Linked DNA regions of Macaca mulatta. The main gene of each other region encodes a partner of the protein of the gene in region 2 in a complex. Links are inferred from orthologs where the notes say so. Each region holds a gene or a part of one and is shown on either strand. Other genes may lie near its edges.

Region 1 (10,314 bases), on a different chromosome or scaffold from region 2:
CTAGACTCTGGCATGGCAAGGTTTGAGTACTTGGAGATTTATAAATATATTAGCTCCTTTGCTTTCCCTGTCTCTGAACAAATTCCTACTGCCTTTTAAGCCCCACAGCCCCTGACCAACTTCTTGAAGTTGCCTTCCAGATTCAGAGCCTCTTGAAGTACTTACCTAAATCTCACCTCCTCTTGTTTCTTACACTGTGCATAGCTCATAGGCAGCATGTACTGCACTGTGGCACCAATGTTTTTCTGCTGGTTTCCATTGGGCAAGTGCCTTCTGGAGAGGCAGGACTTCCAGAACTATTTGTTGATCTACTCATGAATGATAAACAGAATGGAAAATGATGAACTACGTGAAGCCCTGGCAAGTTGCTTTGCCATTCTGACTATATCTCAAAGTTCCCAAGTCTGCTCTATCACTGGACAAGTACATTCTCTTTAATGGTATTCATGTTACTTCACTGATTATTCATCAGTTTCTGCCTGTTTTTCTCTGAAAGTCTCCAATAAATGACCACAAATAGGTAATAAGTTTTTTTAGCCAAAAATATGGGAAGGTGAAATAAAATCATTCCTTTTGTTTCTTAAATTGAGAATAATTAATTCTGACTCTCTTCTTCTTTTTTTTAAATGTGACTGCCTGGAAAACAAGAGAAACAGTCTAAGGACAGTGGCAGGAGCCACTGATGACTGTTCAAAGACATTTCTGAATTAACTCTCAAGCAAGTGAATAGGGCCAGGCGCAGTGGCTCACGCCTGTAATCCCAGCACTTTGGGAGGCCTAGGCAGGTGGATCACTTGAGGTTAGCAGTTCAAGACTAGCCTGGCAAACATGGTGAAACCCCCCATCTCTACTAAAAATACAAAAATTACCTGGGCGTGGTGGTGGGCACCTGTAATCCCACCTACTTGGGAGGCTGAGGCAGGAGAATCGCTTCAACCCAAAAGGCAGAGGTTGCAGTGAGCTGAGATTGAGTCACTGTATTTCAGCCTAAGCAACAGAGCAAGACTCCACCTCAAAAAAAATAAAAATAAAAAAAGTGAATAGGATGATTTAGCTTAACTGCAGAATGATTTCCCATGAAACTCATTTATTTTTGTTAATAGATGACTAAAATCCTGACTACAGTAATCCCCTCCTTATCCTCAATTTCATGTTCCACAATTTCAGTTACCTGTGGTCAACTGTAGTATGAAAGAAGGGTGAGTACAGTATAATAAAATATTTAGAGACAGCAAGCAAACAAGCAAATTCATATAACTTGTACTAGAGTATACTGTTATAATTGTTCTATTATTAGTTACTACTCTGCTGATATTCCTAATTTATATAGTAAACTTCACCATAAGTATACATGTATGGGAAAAAACATATATAGAATTCAGTATTATCCACGGTTTCAGGAAGCCACTGGGAGTCTTGGAACATAATAGGGGAATACTGTATATTGCCAAACTGATTAAAAATGAAGTGGTTCTTACACTGAAACATGGCGTACTTCTCTAAGGGAAATTCCCTTGAGTACATAAATAAGCGAAAATCACTGACATTACTTGGAAAGGATTCCCAAAGTTCTCTTAAGAGAGCATTCCAAGCTGTAACCTTCAAGCTGTCAACTGTGTGTACAGGGTCATCACCAGGACCTCAAGCAAAGTAAAGCTGAGTCTCGTCTTCTCATTGCTGAATCTATGTCCCTTTTCTCAAACCTTATCCTCTTTGTCATCATCCCTATTTTTAGTCATGGGGATCAGTCATTCCCTGTGTTACCTCTAAGAAAAAAATGGCTCCCTGTTGCTTACTAAATAGTCCACATGACCTCACCTCCACTAGTCCCTCTAATACTGCTATATATAGTCCATGACTCTCAAATCTCTACACCTTTACCCATGCTATTCTCTTCATCTCTACCTACTGACCTAACCATGCTCAAGAGTCTACCTAAATATCCCTCCTCCACGAAGTCTAACCTGATAACAAGCAGAGTCATTAACAAATACAAGACCACTACTTAGTGCCAGGCACTGTGCTAGGTGCTGGGAAAATATGGAAGGATTAAGATACTAACTTAAAGAGTTCAATCTAGTGGTGAAGATAAACAGGAAAGCAAGTAGTTGCAATATAAAATGAGTGTTATAGGTAAGATATGGATAAGGTAAAGAGAAAAACAGAGAAAGAGTAACTGTTTGGAGAGCTTTGAAGGGTTTCGGAGAGATGGTGACCTGTGAAAATAGGGCAGGAAGTGTTAAAGAACATGGCATTTTGGAGATCCATCTCTTCATCCTTTCAGAGCCTGGCACAGTGCATGGGGTTAGCACATACTCATCCTACTGGCATACCTTGAAGATACCACAGATTTGGTTCCAGATCACCACAACAAAGCAAGCATCAAAATAAACTGTCACACAAATTTTCTGGTTTCCCAGTTTACATAAAAGTTATGTTTACACTATACACTAACTACAGTTAGTATTAAGTATGCAGTATCATTATGTCTAAAAAAAATCTAGATCCCATTAAGAACATCCACGATTCATGGGAGAAGGCAAAATATTAACATTAACAGGAGTTTGGAAGATGTACCCACCTTAATTTAAAAATACTTTATTGCTAACAACGTTAAAGCTCATCTGAGCCTTCAGTGAGTCCTCATCTTTTTGCCAGTGAAGGGTCTGCCCTTGATGCTGATGGATGTTGACTGATGAGGGTGGTGGGTGCTGAAAGGCGGGGTGGCTGTGGCAATTTTTTAAAATGAGACAATGATGAAGTTTGCTGCATTAATTGAGTCTTCCTTTCACAAAAGATTTCTCTTTTGTGATGCTGCAATGCTGTTTCATAGCATTTTACCCACAGCTGAACTCCTTTCAAAATTGGAATCAGTCCTCTTAAACCTGCTGCTGCTTTACCAAGTAAGTTTACTCTAAATCCTTTGTTGACATTTCAACAATGTTCACAGCATCTTCACCAGAAGTAGATTCCATTTCAATAAACCACTTTCTTTGCTCATCAATAAGAAGCAACTCATGTGTTCAATTTTTATGAGACTGCAACAACTTAATTACATTTTCAGGCTCTACTTCTAATTTTAGTTCTTTTCCTTGTTCTACCACACCTGCAATTACTTCCTCCACTGAAGGCCTGAACCTCTCAAAGTCATCCATGAAGGTTGGAATCAACCTCTTCCAAATTCCTGTTAATGCTGATATTTTGCCCTCTTCCCATGAATCATGGATGTTCTTAACGTGTCTAGAATGGTGAAACCTTTCCATAAAGTTTTCAATTTACAATATCCAGATGCATCAGAGGAATCACTATCCATGGCAGCTGTAGCCTTACAAATGTTTTGACTTTTTGTTTTGTTTTGTTTCGTTTTGAGACAGGGTCTGGCTCGGTTACCCAGGCTGGAGTGCAGTGGTGCGATCATGGCTGACTGCAGCCTCAACCTACCTGGGGTCAGGGGATCCTCCCACCTCAGCCTCCCAAGTAGCTGGGACCACAGGTGCATGCCACCACACTTGGCTAAATTTTGTATTTTTTGTAGAGATGGGGTCTCACCATGTTGGCCAGGCTGGTCTTGAACTCCTGGGCTCAAGCAATCCACCTGCCTTGACTTCCCAAAGTGCTGGGATTGCAAGTGTGAGCCACTGTGCCTGGCTGTTATTTCTTAAACAATAAGACTGAAAATAGAAATTACTCCTTGATCCATGGGCTGCAGAATGGATGTTGTGTTAGCAAGCATGAAAACCACATTAATCTCCTTGTAGATCTCCATCAGAGCTCTTGGGTGACCAGGTGTATTGTCAATCAGCAGTAATATATTGAAATAATCTTTTTTTTCTGAGCAGTAGGTCTCAACAGTGGGCTTAAAATAATTCAGTAAACCATACTATAAAGAGATGTGCTGTCATCAAGGTTTTGTTTTTCCATTTCTAGAGCACAGGTAGATGAGATTTAGTGTAATTCTTAAGGACCCTAGGAGTTTTGGAATGGTAAATATTAACTTCAACTTAAAAGTCACCAGCTGCATTAGCCCCTAACGAGTGTTAACCTGTCCTTTGAAAATTTGAAGCCAGTCACTGACTTCTCTCTAGCTATGAAAGTCCTAAATGGGACAGGCATAGTGTTTTTTGAGAGGCTTTGAGAGGCTAAAGTGGGAGGATTGCTTGAGTCCAGGAGTTTGAGACCAGCCTTGGCAACACAGTGGGATCCTGTCTCTATAAAAAAATACAAAAATTACCCAGTGGTGGTGCGTGCCTGTAGTCCCAGCTACTTGGGAGACTGAGGCAGGAGGATCACTTGAGCCCAGGAGGTCAAGGCTGCAGTGAGCTGTGATTGCACCACTGCACTCTAGCCTGGGTGACAGAGTGAGACCCTGTCTCAAAAACAACCACCACCAACAAAAAAAACAAAGTCCTAGATGGCATCTTTTTCCAATAGAAGGCTGTTTCATCTACATTGAAAACCTGTTTAGTGCAACCATTTTCATCAACTATCTTAGCTAGATCTGAATAATTTGCTTCTTCATCTCATACTTTTATGTTATGGAGATGGCTTCTTTTCTTAAACCTCATGAACCAACCTCTGTTAGCTTCACTCTTTTCTTCTGCAGCTTTCTCACATGTCTCAGACTTCATAGGATTGAAAAGAGTTAGGACCTTGCTCTAGATTACACTTTGGTTAAAGGGAATGTTGTGGCTGGTTTGCTCTTCTATCTAGACCACTAAAACTTTCTCTGTATCAGCAACTTAAGCTGTTTTGCTTTCTTGTCATTCATGTGTTCAATACTGATCCCTTCAGCCCTAAACAACAGTAGTCAGGTGTGGCTCTTTCCTGAAGCTCCTCTTCTTCTATTTAGACCCAGGATATTTAGGGCTTTTGGCTACTTTTTTTGTTTGTTTGTTTTTTTAGACGGAGTCTTGCTCTGTCGCCCGGGCTGGAGTGCAGTGGCGCGATCTCCGCTCACTGCAAGCTCCGACTCCCGCGTTCACACCATTCTCCTGCCTCAGCCTCCTGAGTAGCTGGGACTACAGGCGCCCGCCACCACGCCCAGGTAATTTTTTATATTTTTGGTAGAGACGGGGTTTCACTGTGTTAGCTAGGATGGTCTAGATCTCCTGACCTCGCGATCCGACTGCCTCGGCCCCCCAAAGTGCTGGGATTACAGGCGTGAGCCACTGTGCCCGACCTTCTCTCTATATTTTTTAATTTTTTTTTTTTTAACTTAACAAAGCATAGAAACAGATTCAGGACATTCCTCCGAAGACGTTCCACACTCGAGTCCTAGGACACGGTTCGGGCGGGGGTCATTTGATCGAGTGGCCTGTGTCCTTATCTGGAATATGGGACGACGCTGTAACTCTAACTCACCCTGCGAACTCACAGCTTTTGAGGTAAACAAGAGAGAAAGAAGAGACAAGAAAGTGATCTTTCTTTACCATCTACCAAGGACCAGGCGGTTTACATGTAAGGTCATTTTTAGGAAAACAGCAGCGCTCTGAAACCTACAGAGCTTTCTGGGCGTAGGGGGCTGTAGTCGCTTGAAAAGAACCAGGCTGGGGGTCCGAGTTCCACCGGAATTGGTGCCGAGCGCGGGTGAAAAGAGGGACCCGACAGCACCCACCCTCCAAGTAAAGGCAAAAGTTGAAAGTGGCAGGCTGGCCGCGCTTCCGAAGTAACACGACTGGTGAGGGCTCACCTTAGTCTCTATGGTGGGTCCCTCCCTGTAGCCGACCCGTTCCTTGAAGCGGGCCAGAAACGCTGGCTCGGCTGGCCGTACGTACGATACCTGGTTCCGCTTGCTCATGGTAGCTCTAGGTAAAGACAGGTTCCGCGACCGATTCGCGACGATACAGAGGCGCTTAGCTGTGACGTCAACTGGACCACGCCCCTGATGCGTAGACCGGGCAACATGGCGGCCTCCATTCGGGCGTCAACGTCGGATACAAGCGCCAAATTCAAATTCGCGGCCATCTTGAGCGGGAGGAATTCAGTCGCGCGCGGCGCAGTCGGGAGGTGGAGGCGTCGGCTGCATTGTTCCCGGGATCGAGGGGTGAGGGCGCTATGGCACCCGGCTGCAAAAGTAAGTCTGGACCCCAGACTTCGTTACCCTATCTTTGCCCCCAAATACAGCTGTGAAAGGATGGCAACCTCGGACCGCCGGCAAGGTTCTTGCTGGGCATGAACTGCAGGAGCTGAGTGACGGGCGGGGGCGTTTGGGAATCCCTCTCTGTCGCTCAAAGACAATACGCTAGCCGAAAAGGTCATCCCTTCCGTGTCCTGTGCGCATGCTAGGAGTCTGGCGCAGTTGTAGGCGCTCGGGATGAGCAGTGGACCTGCCGTTCTTCCCTTTCTTTCCCTCGGTTCTGCTGTTTCTTCGCAGGCCTCTTCCCACATCCCGACCAGGGCTACCTCTCTAGATATCCTTGTTTCAGGATCGGCTTTTGCTCCCACCAGCGTCTGCGTATTTCCACATTTCTGACCTTCCTATAGGGAAGGGTTTATTTATATTCCAAACACTTCTTTCTCTTTTTCCCTTAAGTAAATGGAATGTTAAAACACAGATGTCAGCAATGTCTGTGTTGTCACAGTCTCTATTTTCACTTAAAGGAGACCCGTCCGATTTCTTTCTCTTTTTCACGGAGGAGAGCACTGTCATTTTTGCTTATGATAAACCCTACAGTTTTCACTAATGTAGTCTTTTGCTGTGCCTGTGTACGTGCGCCACTTCTTACATTGCCACATCTCTTAAGGAGTCTTGTTTTTGTGAACCTGATTATGAGCTGATTTAATGGGATCTTTGTGAGTGGTCTGAATGGTAATAAGGAGAGGCCTAGATCAGATGATTAAGAATTTGTGAACTTCTGTCATTTGAGCTTTCCAACAGCGTTAATGTTTCTAGCTTTCTGTCAATTATAGTTGTTTTTGATGGGTTTGTTGTTTCAGTAACCTTTTAGGTCGATCGCACTTTTATTGGAACACCTCTTTATGCTACCTTTTTCCATCTAAAATATTCCTTTTCCTTCATCATTTTCAGTATTCAAGGACTATGAGCTCACAAAATGGTACCTTATTGGAGAGAAATGTTCATCCTGCTTTCTGAACAATCATACTGTTTGTTCTTTGTTTCCACCTTATGGATCTGGACTCAAGCCAAAAAAATTGATGCCTGTTAAATAAGTAAAGTATCTGCTTATTTAATGAGATATATGTATGTGACTAAGGGCTCAGAAGAAAACCAAATTTGAGAGCCTTTCTTAAAGTGGTGGGAGCACTTCCCTTTATGATGGTGGTGATGCCATGGGGAACTTTTCCACTCCCTTAAGTTTGTTGGCAAAATTGAGGTTGATGACTTCCCAGGTAAAGTGCTTCTTGCTTTCCCAGCAGCCCAGAGACCTGGAGCATGAAGTGGGAACACATGGGAGAAGAGAGCCCATGCAGTGGTCTTTACAACTTTTACTTTGTGCCCTGAAGGCTTTTTTTTTTTGAGACAGAGTCTTGCTGTGTCACCAGGTTGGAGTGCAGTGGTGCAATATCGTCTCACTGCAACCTCCACCTCCGGGGTTCAAGAGATTCTCCTGCCTCAGCCTCCCGAGTAGCTGGGATTACAGGCACGGGCCACCACGCCCAGCTAATTTTTTTATTTTTAGTAGAGCTGGGGTTTCACCATGTTGGCCAGGATGGTCTTGATCTCCTGACCTCATGATTTGCCCACCTTGGCCTCCCAAAGTTTTGGGATTACAGGTGTGAGCCACCATACCCGGCCCCATGAAGGCTATCTCTAGTGACATTGACACCATGAGTTGCTGACTGTAAATCAGAGAAATGAAAAAGTGAAATATACAATTCCCTTTTTTTTTTCTTTTTTTTTTTTTTTAAAGACAGTGTTGCTCTGTCACCCAGGCTGGAGTGCACTGGCACAATCTTGGCTCACTGCAGTCTCTGCCTCCTGGGTTCAAGCAGTGCTTGTGCCTCAGCCTCAGAGTAGGAGATCTGGATTTAGCATGCCTTTGTTCAAATCCTAGCACTTCTCAGTGATGGTTCCTTAGATCTCAATTAGAAATAATGCCAGAACTATCTACATTTGTGTAGTTTTAAATTTCACTTTATCTCGCTATTTGCTCATTAACTTTGCTTCTTTTTTTATTAAGTAAACATTTTACTTTGGGTTCCTTTTAGATTTACCAGGAAGTTTCACATAAGCGCAGATCAGTATCCATCTATTTAGTTTCCATCTGATCAGTTACACAGATCTCTGCAGAGATGAAGAGCTGGCAGCCTACCTTCTGGGGCTTCTTGTTGTTGTTTGATTGTGTATTTGCTTAGCAACTGGCTGGATCAATTTAGTGAAGTCTATTTCCCTCCTATACTGTTAAGCCTTTGATGTTGCTCCTCAGGAAAGCACAGCTTTGGATATGCCCACCTGTATCCTGGGATCACAGTGGTTTTGGTAGGGATCTCTTTCTTTCCATGACTGCACACAGCTGTGAAACTCCAGTAATTGTTAGCTGATTGCTCTATTGTTTTTTAACAATGTCCTGGGGCATAAATTGTCTTACAAACTACTTCAGTTCTTGCTCCATTGAAGGAGTAGTTTCTGAGGTTGTCTTTCGTATTTCTTCTGACTCCACTGTAGCTACTCCTAGTTGATCTTATATCCCCATTGTCTTCTGGCAAGCGAACAGGCCTACAATTTAGCTTGTATCTTGAATGTCTTCCTAATTACTTTCACTAAAACCTACACTGTTCCTGAGAGTGCCCTTAGGTTTGAACTTCTTTCCCCCACACCCCACCCCAAGACCGAGTCTTGCTCTGTCACCTAGGCTGTACGGCAGTGGCGTGGTCTCGGCTCACTGCAACCTCCACCTCCTGAATTCAAGCGATTCTCCTGCCTCAGCCTCCCAAGTAGCTGAGATTACAGACGTGCCACCATGCCCAGCTAATTTTTGTTTTGTATTTTTAGTACAGAGATGGGGTTTCGCTATGTTGGTCAGGCTGGTCTCGAACTCCTGACCTCAAATGATCCGCCTGCCTGGGCCTCCCAAAGTGCTGGGATTACAGGCATGAGCTACCACACCTAGCCAGGTTTGAACTTCTCTTTTTTTTTTTTTTTTTTTTTTTTTGAGACAGAGTCTCGCTCTGTCGCCCAGGCTGGAGTGCAGTGGCCGGATCTCGGCTCACTGCAAGCTCCGCCTCCCGGATTTACGCCATTCTCCTGCCTCAGCCTCCCGAGTAGCTGGGACTACAGGCGCCCGCCACCTCGCCCGGCTAGTTTTTTTGTATTTTTTAGTAGAGACGGGGTTTCACTGTGTTAGCCAGGATGGTCTCGATCTCCTGAACTCGTGATCCGCCCGTCTGGGCCTCCCAAAGTGCTGGGATTACAGGCTTGAGCCACCGCGCCGGGCCAGGTTTGAACTTCTCTATGCTCTGTTGCAAATGAATTCAGCTCATTTGGGAAGAGAATAGGAGTTATCTGTTTATGGGCTGATTCTTCGTCTAGGCAAAATCTCTGAGCCTGGGCACTATAGTTGGGGATAGGGATAATGGCAGTCTTGTCTCTGAGTGATACCCTTTCTAGTTGCCGAGCATTTTGTGGGGAGGGTGGGGAGTGCAGCAGCCTTGTGTGGAACCACTGCCTAATGAGTTGGGACAAGGGTGATCAGGGCCCCAGTGTTCTCAGCATGCAGTTGCAAGATGAGGGCTGGGTGGGAGAAGGGAGAGCCCTCACCTCTCAACCACACTTGTCTAGGACTTTACCTCAGCATCAGGTAGCTAGCTGGAGACACAATGATACACTGACATCCTGCTACTCTGTGGAAGACACCCTTGCAGTTAGGAGCTGGAGGGGGATCCCTGTGTTCTTGGCTGCTGCAATCGACAGTGGAGTGTTTGCCTTGCTCAGATGGGAGGAAGAGAGCAATCTTGGTTCAAATAACACAGGACCACCTTTCTTGATGAATTTTCATAAATGTTCTTGAACGGATGTTTCTTTGTTTGCTGTTTGCCTTTGGGAACATTTCCAGAGGCTTTAATTTTCTTTTCTTTTTTTTGTTTTTTGAGATGGAGTCTCACTCGGTCGCCCAGGCTGGAGTGCAGTGGTGTGATCTCGGCTCACTGCAAGCTCTGCCTCCTGGGTTCATGCCATTCTCCTGCCTCAGTCTCCTGGGTAGCTGGGACTACAGGTGCCTACCACCATGCCTGGCTAATTTTTTGTGTTTTTAGTAGAGATGGGATTTCACCATGTTAGCCAGGATGGTCTCAATCTCCTGACCTTGTGATCCGCCCGCCTCAGCCTCCCAAAGTGCTGGCATTACAGGTGTGAGC
Region 2 (10,214 bases):
TAAAATACCAAGTTTTATCATTGTTTTACATGTTACCTAAGACCAATTCTTTTTTTTAACATAGGCACGCTATCTCAACTCATTTTAGTGAGGTATTACCTTAAATTACAGATTTTATCTTGTAGATATATCTTTATCTTTATGTAATGGTAATCTCATAACTCTGAGAATTTGACTGAGGAAGTTGACTGTTAAATGTGGGCTTTGATAAAAGCATGTGATGCATTTCAGTTATTTTTCAGAATTAACTCTGTAATAATTTTTTAATGTTGGAAATATGTCTGCTGAGTTCCAAAGTTCTAGGTCTTTATGACATACTTCTTTTGGATTGTTAAACAGGGACAATGTTTTTGAGCTTCTTAATTGTTTATCAGAATTTCTCATAAAAATTTTAAAAAGCATTGCTCACATCATGTTGATGTACCCTTAATTGACCCATTTATTCCTTTAATCCCTAAGAGTTTTTAATGCTAAAATAATTTTACACTACCTTTTCTAACCAGATTTTCCTATTAATCCTTAATAAGACATTTCGGCAATATAAATTACTTTTATTTATATTTCTAATTCGCAAGCCTCTCTGAAATTTTGGTAATTCTCTGCTTATCAGAGTTCCTTCTTTCATCTCTCTGGTAACCTGCTGCCTTATTCTTGGGCCTTTATCCTTTTTGAGCATTTCGTTAGCGTTGATTCTGTAAATGCGCCCTATGATTAAAGTATTGTCCCACAGAATTTCATTCAGAAAAGCTATTAGCAGGAGAGAAAGGGCTGTGGTGACTGCAGCATCGCTTCTAGGACTTTGGTCTAAGATCAAGTGTGTAAGTAACGCTACTGCATATATCAGAGCATTCAGTTAACTAATTCTCATGAATCCATTTCATTGTCCTCATCCAAAGTGTTATCCAGTGCCTCTGCTTGTGACATCTTTTTTACAGCTGTTGGAGGCCCCTTGTTCATTCTGTTTAGCAACTTTAAAATTATGTATTCACTATGACTTTAATTAATACTTAAAACTCCATGGATATTGGCAGTACTAAGATATCTAGATATTAAAGTGTGATTTAAAATTTAAAGTTGTTAAGCATTACTTATGTGGAGCATGCAGTAATTTTCATGAGACTTCCCACACCCTGCACTTTTATTTTTTGCCAAAATCTTTTTTAAGTTTTTGTTAAAACCAACTAAGTCGTATTGCAAAAAGAGGGATTTGAACCATGTTTTAAAAAATGCAATTGTCATTTATATCATTGTCATCTTCATCTGATTCCAATGATGAGGTTTTGCTACGTGGTGAATCCCTACCTGGCAGCTGCTAAAGTCCCACATTTACCAGCCACCTAGAGGGCATAAGATACTCACTGTTCTAGCAGCGATTGCTCACAGGGAGCCAATCTGGACAAAGCTGAAATGATGATAATGGTTAAGGGATTGGATTATAGAGAGATAATTAAAGTTTCATTATATAAACTCTGACTTTCTTTTGGCTTTTAAGATTTAACACATTTTTATCTATAGATGTTGCTGGGCCAATACTTGACATGCCCAGCTATTCTCAAGATGGCTTCTGAATTTGCCATAATGGAAAGATACATGTAATGCTGCGATTTTAAAGTTATAGCCAACCATTTAAAGCCTTTCAGGTATTACTATAATTAAGTAGACATTCTATTTAATGAGGGTGGCTTCCAACTAAAAGTTGGACTTTAACTTTGAACTTCTGCTGGGTGGTCCTTTGACTTACATGACAAATACAAAATGTTTCTATTAATAAGGAGATCTTCTCTAATTGTTTGAGAAGTTTGCCATGCCCAGAATTGAATTATGAAGTCTTTAAGAGTGTTGGTAAAGCAGTTCCATAAAGTTCATCTGTAGAAATCTGTTGACTTCAAAATTTGGTGGGAAGCCTTATTGTATGTAAATTTCAAAGATTTTAGAACACAGAAGTCTCTCCTTATCCAAATTTATCCTAATTGCCTGTGTATAGTAGGATGTAAAAGGGCTCTATAAACCTAATAAAAATTAAATCTTCAGACTGGGCAAGGTGGCTTACATTTATAACCCCAGCACTCTGGGAGGCCAAGGTGGGAGCATTGCTTGAGGCCAGGAGTTGGAGACTTGTCTAGGCAACATAGAGGAACCCCAGAATTAGGCTTGGTGGCATGTGCCTATAGTCCAGCTACTCAGGAAGCTAAAGGTGGGAGGATCCCTTACGCCCAGGAGGTTGAGGCTGCAGCGAACTATGATTGTGCCACTGCACTCCAGCCTTGGGCTAGAGTGAGACCCCTATCTCGTAAGGAAAAAAAAAATTCAGTCCTGACACAATGTAAATAGTCTAAGAATTTATTGTGCGTGGGAGTTTGGCTATTTAGACTGAACCTAAAGGGCTTTTTGAGACAGTTTAAGTCTAGGATGACAGCCATTCCTGTATATCTATTGATTAAATAAGGAGAGCTAACTTTCAATTGGCAGTTGTCTTTCAACCCAAGTGGATTATTATTAAGAGTTTGGGGGCATTAATATTTTAACCATTGAGGTTACATTTTAACCAGATAATATGATAATATATCTTTTATACCTTCTGAACGATCTGCAACTCTATAGGGCCTCCTTTGTAGTATTTTTATCTGATTTTATACCTTTTCCCATATTAAAAGAAATTATGCAAGTATCAGTTGCAAATAAAGCTGTATGATAGTCACATTCACTGTTGTTTATTTCCCCAATAGCTATGCTTTATGGAGGCCAGGCACTGTTTATCAGCTGCTAATGTCATTTTTGGTCAAACTGGAAAGATCTCAGCCACAGAAGACAGTAAGTTTACCTTTGCATGTTTTACATAGCTTTTAAAAAAGTATTTTATTTTGAAATTATTTTAAACTTTTGAAAAGTTGCAAGATCAGAAGAGCTATCATATGCCCTTCTCCTAAATGCACCAATTTTTAGTATTTTCTTCGCTTGGAATCAAATTTTATTTTTCTCTCTGAACCACTAGAGAGGTTACATACATTAGGCTCCTTTACCCTTTCATACTTCAATATATATTTCCTAAGAAGAATATCTTCTTACATAATCATAGATCATTTATCAAATTCAAGAAATGTAACATTGGCTAGGCATGATGGCCCACGCCTGTAATGCTAGATTTTGGGAGGCCAAGATGGGAGGGGCCAGGAGTTCAAGACCAGCCTGATCAACATAGTGAGACCCTACCTCTATGTTTTTAAAGAAATTAAAAAAACAGGCCGGGCGCGGTGGCTCAAGCCTGTAATCCCAGCACTTTGGGAGGCCGAGACGGGCGGATCACGAGGTCAGGAGATCGAGACCATCCTGGCTAACACGGTGAAACCCCGTCTCTACTAAAATACAAAAAAAATTAGCCGGGCGAGGTGGCGGGCGCCTGTAGTCCCAGCTACTCGGGAGGCTGAGGCAGGAGAATGGCGTGAACCCGGGAGGCGGGGCTTGCAGTGAGCTGAGATCCAGCCACTGCACTCCAGCCTGGGCAACAGAGCCAGACTCCCTCTCAAAAAAAAAAAAAAAAAAACAAAAGTAACATTGATACAATTCTTTTGTCTACACTGCATATTTCTGTTTCATCAGTTGTTGCCATAATATTCCTTCTAGCATTTGTTTGCCAGTACTGGATTATACAGTTCAAGATTGCATATTGCATTCAGTTGTCACATCTCTAGGCATTTTTCATCCAGAATTGTTCCTCAGCCTTTCTTTCCCTTTCATCACTTAACATTTTTGAAGAATATAGGCCAGTTATTTCAGAGAATTACTGCCAACTGGGGTTTGTGTGATGTTTCCTTACGCCACCATTCACATGATATATTTTTGGTTGGAATACTACATGCATAAACGATGTAGCCAAATATCCATCTTTTTAAGTATAATGTTTCATTTTGTCTTAGAAAATCATAGTTAACGTGTATCTTTGAGCCATTTAACAGGTTTTGTAGTAAGTTCATCTTTTTTTTTTTTTTTTTTTTTTTTTTGAGACGGAGTCTCGCTCTGTCGCCGGGCTGGAGTTCAGTGGCCGGACCTCAGCTCACTGCAAGCTCCGCCTCCCGGGTTCCCGCCATTCTCCTGCCTCAGCTTCCCTAGTAGCTGGGACCACAGGCGCCCGCCACCTCGCCCGGCTAGTTTTTTGTATTTTTAGTAGAGACGGGGTTTCACCGTATTAGCCAGGATGGTCTCGATCTCCTGACCTCGTGATCCGCCCGTCTCGGCCTCCCAAAGTGCTGGGATTACAGGCTTGAGCCACTGCGCCCGGCCTCATTTTCTTTAAAAATAGTTTATTTTGAAAAATAGTTTGATTCTATAACTCACAGTTGAACAGTTTCCAACCTTCTTACGATGTTTTAGATTTTGAAACATCATGTCTTCCTTACAAATGGACATTCTAATTGTGGATCTGAAAAGTGCAGAGACTCTTAAGAGTTAAAGGAATGCACATTATCAAAGTAAATAGTTGCTTTCTCCCCTAATATATATTAGCTACATTGAATTAATTATAGATTAGTTGAAGTCTAAGAGGCACTTGTCTTAAAAAATGAACAAAAACTAAATTGCCGAGATATTATTTAATACTATACTTTATTTAAAATAATACCGTGAGATATTATTTTTTTACTCTTCAAAATAGCTGAAAAAATGACAGTGTCCAGTGTTTTCAAAATGTTCTTATTGAGCATTCTCGTATATTGTTGGTTGGCGTATTTGTTGAAAATAATTTGGCTATATGTTGTGAATTACTTAAAATTGTGTAAACTCTTCTACTCAGTAAATTCCACTTCTAGGAACCTGCCCTAAGGAAGTAATCCAAAATCCAGGCAGATTTTTGCACAAATATATTCATGTTTCGAGTGTAAAAATATGTGTGTGTGTGTATAAACTTTCTAAACCTTTGTGTTGAGGGCTGACTTTCAGTAGATTGCAGCAAGAAAGCTGCCCTGCTGTGTATGACACTCTGACCCAGAAGCAGGTCATCTGAATAGTTTAGCACCAGGTTCTCCACAACCATGTGTTGTGTGACATAGAGGTTTTTGTGATAGTACAGAAATGGAAACAACAAATTCCAGGTTCGAATTGGAAGAATGGCTAAATAATGGAATATCTATTTAATTGTATATAATGGTGTACTTAAAAATGAAGCTAAGAGTTGATAATGATATGAGTAAAGTGTTTGTGGTATGAGAAAGAAATATGCAAAAATAATAGTGAGTGCTTCTGGATAGTAGGATTTGGAGTGGATCTTTCTTCCCTTTTCCCCGAGCCCCCTGCTTCAGTAAAGATCTGTTACTTTTGTAGTCAGGAAAAAGTGATATAAAAAAATTACAGTACCCAGTGAAAATTACAGTTGTGACCATTAATTTAAACAAATCACATGTATATTTTAGCTCCTGAAGCTGAAGGAGAGGTGCCAGAGCTTTATCATCAAAGAAAGGGGGAAATAGCAAGGTGCTGGATCAAATACTGTTTGACTCTCATGCAGAATGCCCAACTCTCCATGCAGGTAATGCAGTCGGAAGTTGCCTTTTTGTTTCTTAAATGAGGACATTGTAAGTAAAAACTCATAGTGGGGACTGTGCTCATTGGGGTCACATTGTGTTTAATATGAAAGGCGTGTAGAATGTTTTCATAAATATTTCTTTCTTGGTTTTAAATCGTACTCATCAAATTGATTGAATCCAGGAGGCAGAGGCTGCAGTGAGCCAAGAGTGGACCACTGCATTCCAGCCTGGGCAACAGAGCAAGACTCCATCTCAAATAAATAAATAAATAAATAAATAAATAAATAAAATCTTACTTATCATTCAAGGCCTATCTTAAATACTACATCTTCCTTGAAGACTTCTCTTTGGTTAGACTATAAGCTTCTTGAGAGCTGGGAACTATGTCATATTCTTTTTTTTTTTTTTTTTTTTTAAAGACAGGCTCTCGCTGTGTTGCCCAGGCTGGCGTGTGGTGATATGGTCATGGGTCACTGCAACCTTGATCTCCCCAGCTCACACAATCATCCCACCTCATCCTGGGAGTACAGGCATGTGCCACCATGTCCAGTTAATTTTTAAGTTATTTTGTAGATACTGGCTCTCATTATGTTGCCAAGGCTGGTCTTGAACTCTTGGGTTCAAGTGATCCTCCCGCCTTTGCCTCCCAAAGTGCTGGGATTACAGGTGTGAGCCACTGTGCCTGGCCTAACTAATCTTTTTTTTTTTTTGAGACGGAGTTTTGCCCAGGCTGGAGTGCTGGAGTACAGTGGTGTGATCGCAGCTGCAACCTCTGCATCCCAGGTTCAAAGGATTCTCCTGCCTCAGCCTCCCAGGTAGCTGGGATTACAGGTGCCTGCCACCATGCCTGGCTAATTTTTGACTTTTTAGTAGAGACGGAGTCTCACCATGTTGGCCAAGCTGGTCTCGAACTCCTGATCTCAAGTGATCCACCCATCTCGGCCTCCCAGAGTGCTGGGATTACAGGTGTGAGCCACCACACCTGGCCAAGGCCTTACTAATCTTTATATACTTCTCAGTGTTATCTTACACACAGCATGGACTTGATAAAATCTAAAAGGGTAGACTTTTAAGAAATAGCTCATGTAATAGTTCAAAAATAGAAGCAGAAGTGATGGCAGTGAAGAGCATGGGCTCTGGAAACACACTAGGTAGGTATGAACTCCAGCTCTGCTGCTTCGTAGCTATGTCTTTGTGGCAATTTACTTAATATATTTTTGCCTGTATTTCCTCACAAATAAGTTGGAGATAATAGTACTTAATACTGTTGTTATTAGAGTTAAATCAGTATATATTAAGGCCTCAGAAAAGTGCCTGAGACATACTAAGTCCTTAATAAATGTTAACTACCATCATCATTATTAATTTATACCCAATCCTAGTTTCTAACCACTAGGGAGGATAATAAAATTAATCATTTAGATGCAATATACTAATTGTAGATACATAGAAGCTTTCCTGGGGGAGTCATTGTGCTTTTGTTTTTTTATATGTGTGTATTAAAGTATGCTAATTTTTTTTTTTTTTACATGGGACTCTGCTTGATGAAAGTATAATAATCTTTAGTGGTTGTATTAGTCCATTCTCACACTGCTATAAAGAATTACTTGAGGCTAGGTGCAGCGCCTCATGCCTATAATCCCAGCACTTTGGGAGGCCAAGGTGGGTGGATCACTTGAGCTCATGAGTTTGAGACCAGCCTGGACAACATGTTGAAACCCTGTCTCTACCAAAAATACAAAAAATTAGCCAAGCATGGTGGTGTGCACCTGTAGTCCCAGCTACTGGGGAGGCTGAGGCAGGAGAATCACTTGAGCGCAGGAGGCAGAGGTTGCAGTGAGCCAACATTGCACCACTGTGCTCCAGCCTGGGTAACAGAGTGAGACCCTGTCTCAAAAAAAAAAAAACAGAAAAAGAACCACCTGAGACTGGGTAATTTATGAAGAAAAGAGGTTAATTGACTTACAGTTCCTCAGGCTTAACAGGAAGCATGACTGGGAGGCCTCAGGAAACTTAGAGTCATGGCAGAAGGTGAAAGGGAAGCAAGCGTGTCTTACTGTGGCAGAGCAGGAGAGAGAGAGAGCAAAGGGGGATATGCTACACACTTCAAAACCATCAGATCTCGTGAGAGAGCTCACTCACTACCACAAGAACAGCAAGCAGGAAATCTGCCCCCAATGATCCAGTCACTTCCCACCAGGTCCCTCCTCCAGTCTGACGTGAGATTTGGCCGGGGACACAAATCCATACTGTATCAGTGGTAAATAATGTAGAACCTTGTGAAACTACTAAACGAAAGAAAACTAAACAAACCTCAACACATCAGAAGCATAGATCTTGAAGAGATAAAGATCATTTTAGAGGTTAGAGGGTAAAGAGGAGGCATATTAAGGAAAGACAGGAAGTAGGGAGAAGAACTATGGGCTTTATGTCTAGAGAATTTGGAGCCAGGAAGAGCTGTCAAGTTTCTTCTGGTCAGGTAAGGAAAGCTGGAAAAGGAGGGTTGCAGGGGCTATTGGAGCAAAACAGTAGGCTAATTTAAGAAAGCATCCTAGAGAGAACATGTAGATAAACAAGCAGCCCAGGAAGGAAGGAAGTATACAAGATTTAGAGACTTATGATCTATGTTTGAAGTAATTGTGTCAAGCATAATGCACTATGATTTGACCCTTACCTTTCATTCAGTTGATGTTTCTAGTCTGGGAACTTAGAACTTCATCACTTGGTTAGTTTAAACTCACATATTTGCCATGCTACTAAATTACTCAGATTTTCCTTAAACCCAATTTTGTTTTTTGAGATGGGGTTTCTGTCACCCAGGCTGGTGTGCAGTGGCATGATCTCCACTCACTACATCCTCCACCTCCCCAGCTCAAGCGGTCCTCCCACATCAGCCTGCCACGTAACTGGGACCACAGGTGTGTGCCACTGTGCCCGGCTAATTCTTTGCATTTTTGTTAGGACGATGTTTTACCATGTTGCCCAGGCTGGTCTTGAACTCTTGAGCTCAAGCAATCCACCCATGTCAGCCTCCCAAAGTGCTAGGATTACAGGTGTGAGCCACTGCGCTCGGCCCTGACTTTCTTTTTTAACCGTAACTTCATCCTGTATCATCTGTGTATTTATCTGAAAGACCTTCTTCAGTTCAAGCTTTTTTTTTTTTTTAAGACGGAGTCTCGCTCTGTCACCCAGGCTGGAGTGCAGCGCAGTGGCGCGATGCGCAGTGGCGCGATCTCGGCTCACTGCAAACTCCGCCTCCCAGGTTCACACCATTCTTCTGCCTCAACCTCCCGATTAGCTGGGACTACAGGCTCCCGCCACCACACCCGGCTAATCTTTTTTGTATTTTTAGTAGAGATGGGGTTTCACCGTGTTAGCCAGGATGGTCTCGATCTCCTGACCTTTTGATCCGCCCACCTCGGCCTCTCAAAGTGCTGGGATTACAGGCGTGACCCACCGCGCCCAGCCCAGCTCAAGCTTTAAGACATACACATATTTATTCAATTAAGTATTTATGCCAAACCTGTGCTAGTCATTGGCCAAGGATACTATGATGGACAAAAATGAACCTAGCCTTTGACTTCATGTAAAAGTACAATTTTGCTAAGTTCCACAAAGGAGAGACACATGATATGAGAAGGCACAATAGGAGGAAATAACAAGCAAGCTCTGGGGATGAGTAAGTAGGAGTTACCTAGCCTGAAGAAAAGAAGGCACACCATGCCAAGGAGCTGAAGCAGCATGTTTAGAAGTTCTGTGGCGTAAGGGAGGATGATATCAGAAGGGATGGAGCAAAGGCTGTGAGGTTGGAGCTGAGGGAGAGGGAGTGTGATATAAGGTAAAGTTAGAGTTAGAAAGGGGCTGGAGCAATCAAGGCTTTGAAGCATTGTTGTCTTCATCTTCTGAGCATTTGGAAACCTTGAAGGGTTTGTGGAGAGATCACTAGTGAGACAGTGTCAAGTGAAAAGAAGAAAAGGGGCCAGGCGCGGTGGCTCAAGCCTGTAATCCCAGCACTTTGGGAGGCCGAGACGGGCGGATCACTAGGTCAGGAGATCAAGACCATCCTGGCTAACACGGTGAAACCCCGTCTCTACTAAAAAGTACAAAAAACTAGCCGGGCGAGGTGGCGGGCGCCTGTAGTCCCAGCTACTCGGGAGGCTGAGGCAGGAGAATGGCATAAACCCGGGAGGCGGAGCTTGCAGTGAGCTGAGATCCGGCCACTGCACTCCAGCCTGGGCGACAGAGCGAGACTACGTCTCAAAAAAAAAAAAAAAGAAAGAAAAGAAAAGAAGAAAAGGACTTGGGATCTGTTATTTAATTTTATTGGCCAAGAAGAGCTTACTCTTATTTCTTAACTACCTTAGTTATTCTTAGTTATTCCCCACCCCCAAGAGGTAGAGGAGAAAACTTTAACTAGGAAGGTAGATTTAACTTTGTTCATTTTGATGTCTTTAAGAGACCTAGAGCATTTCTCTTTGATATATTTCACTAAATAACTAATAGCATAAACATGGTAGCATTAATTTTAATGGCATCCTTGTGAAGTATTTTTGTGATGTAGATTACAGTCTGTTTGTTTGTTTGTTTGTTTCTTGAGATGGAGTCTTGCACTGTCACCCAGGCTGGAGTGCAGTGGCACGATCTCCACTCACTGCAACCTCCGCCTCCTGGGTTCAAGCGATTCTCCTGCCTCAGTCT

Evidence for each region. Proteins that work in one complex are often made in the same cells at the same time.
Region 1: the proteins of KIFBP (region 2) and KIF15 are in contact, whole or in part, in a cryo-EM structure (PDB 6ZPH), measured with the Homo sapiens proteins. The link is inferred for Macaca mulatta from reciprocal best matches to the Homo sapiens genes KIFBP and KIF15. Residues at the interface, in NP_056449.1 of Homo sapiens: Lys26, Tyr33, Lys36, Ile106, Glu109, Ile147, Ser150, Glu151, Glu153, Thr208, His209, Tyr212, Tyr213, Gln216, Gln219, His220, Phe224, Gln238, Glu248, Trp249, Ile251, Asn252, Thr255, Gln258, Phe259, Asn262, Tyr415, Val416, Thr417, Glu421; in NP_064627.1 of Homo sapiens: Leu187, Glu189, Ile191, Lys192, Lys193, Arg231, Glu232, Arg235, Arg271, Met280, Arg281, Leu282, Lys283, Glu284, Ala285, Gly286, Asn287, Asn289, Arg290, Leu292, Ser293, Gly296, Gln297, Ile299, Ala301, Val303, Asp304, Val305, Gly306, His312.

What each region holds. Positions count from the first base shown.
Region 1 is NC_133407.1:108,086,970-108,097,283, forward strand, and holds the start of KIF15 (kinesin-like protein KIF15), read left to right. Parts: upstream 1-5,854; 5' UTR 5,855-6,054; coding exon 6,055-6,073; intron 6,074-10,314. Other genes in the region: uncharacterized protein KIAA1143 homolog, read right to left, coding at 5,690-5,797. UniProt on the Homo sapiens protein: Plus-end directed kinesin-like motor enzyme involved in mitotic spindle assembly.
Region 2 is NC_133414.1:80,620,897-80,631,110, reverse strand, and holds part of KIFBP (KIF-binding protein), read left to right. Parts: intron 1-2,726; coding exon 2,727-2,811; intron 2,812-5,402; coding exon 5,403-5,518; intron 5,519-6,229; coding exon 6,230-6,331; intron 6,332-10,214. UniProt on the Homo sapiens protein: Activator of KIF1B plus-end-directed microtubule motor activity. Required for organization of axonal microtubules, and axonal outgrowth and maintenance during peripheral and central nervous system development.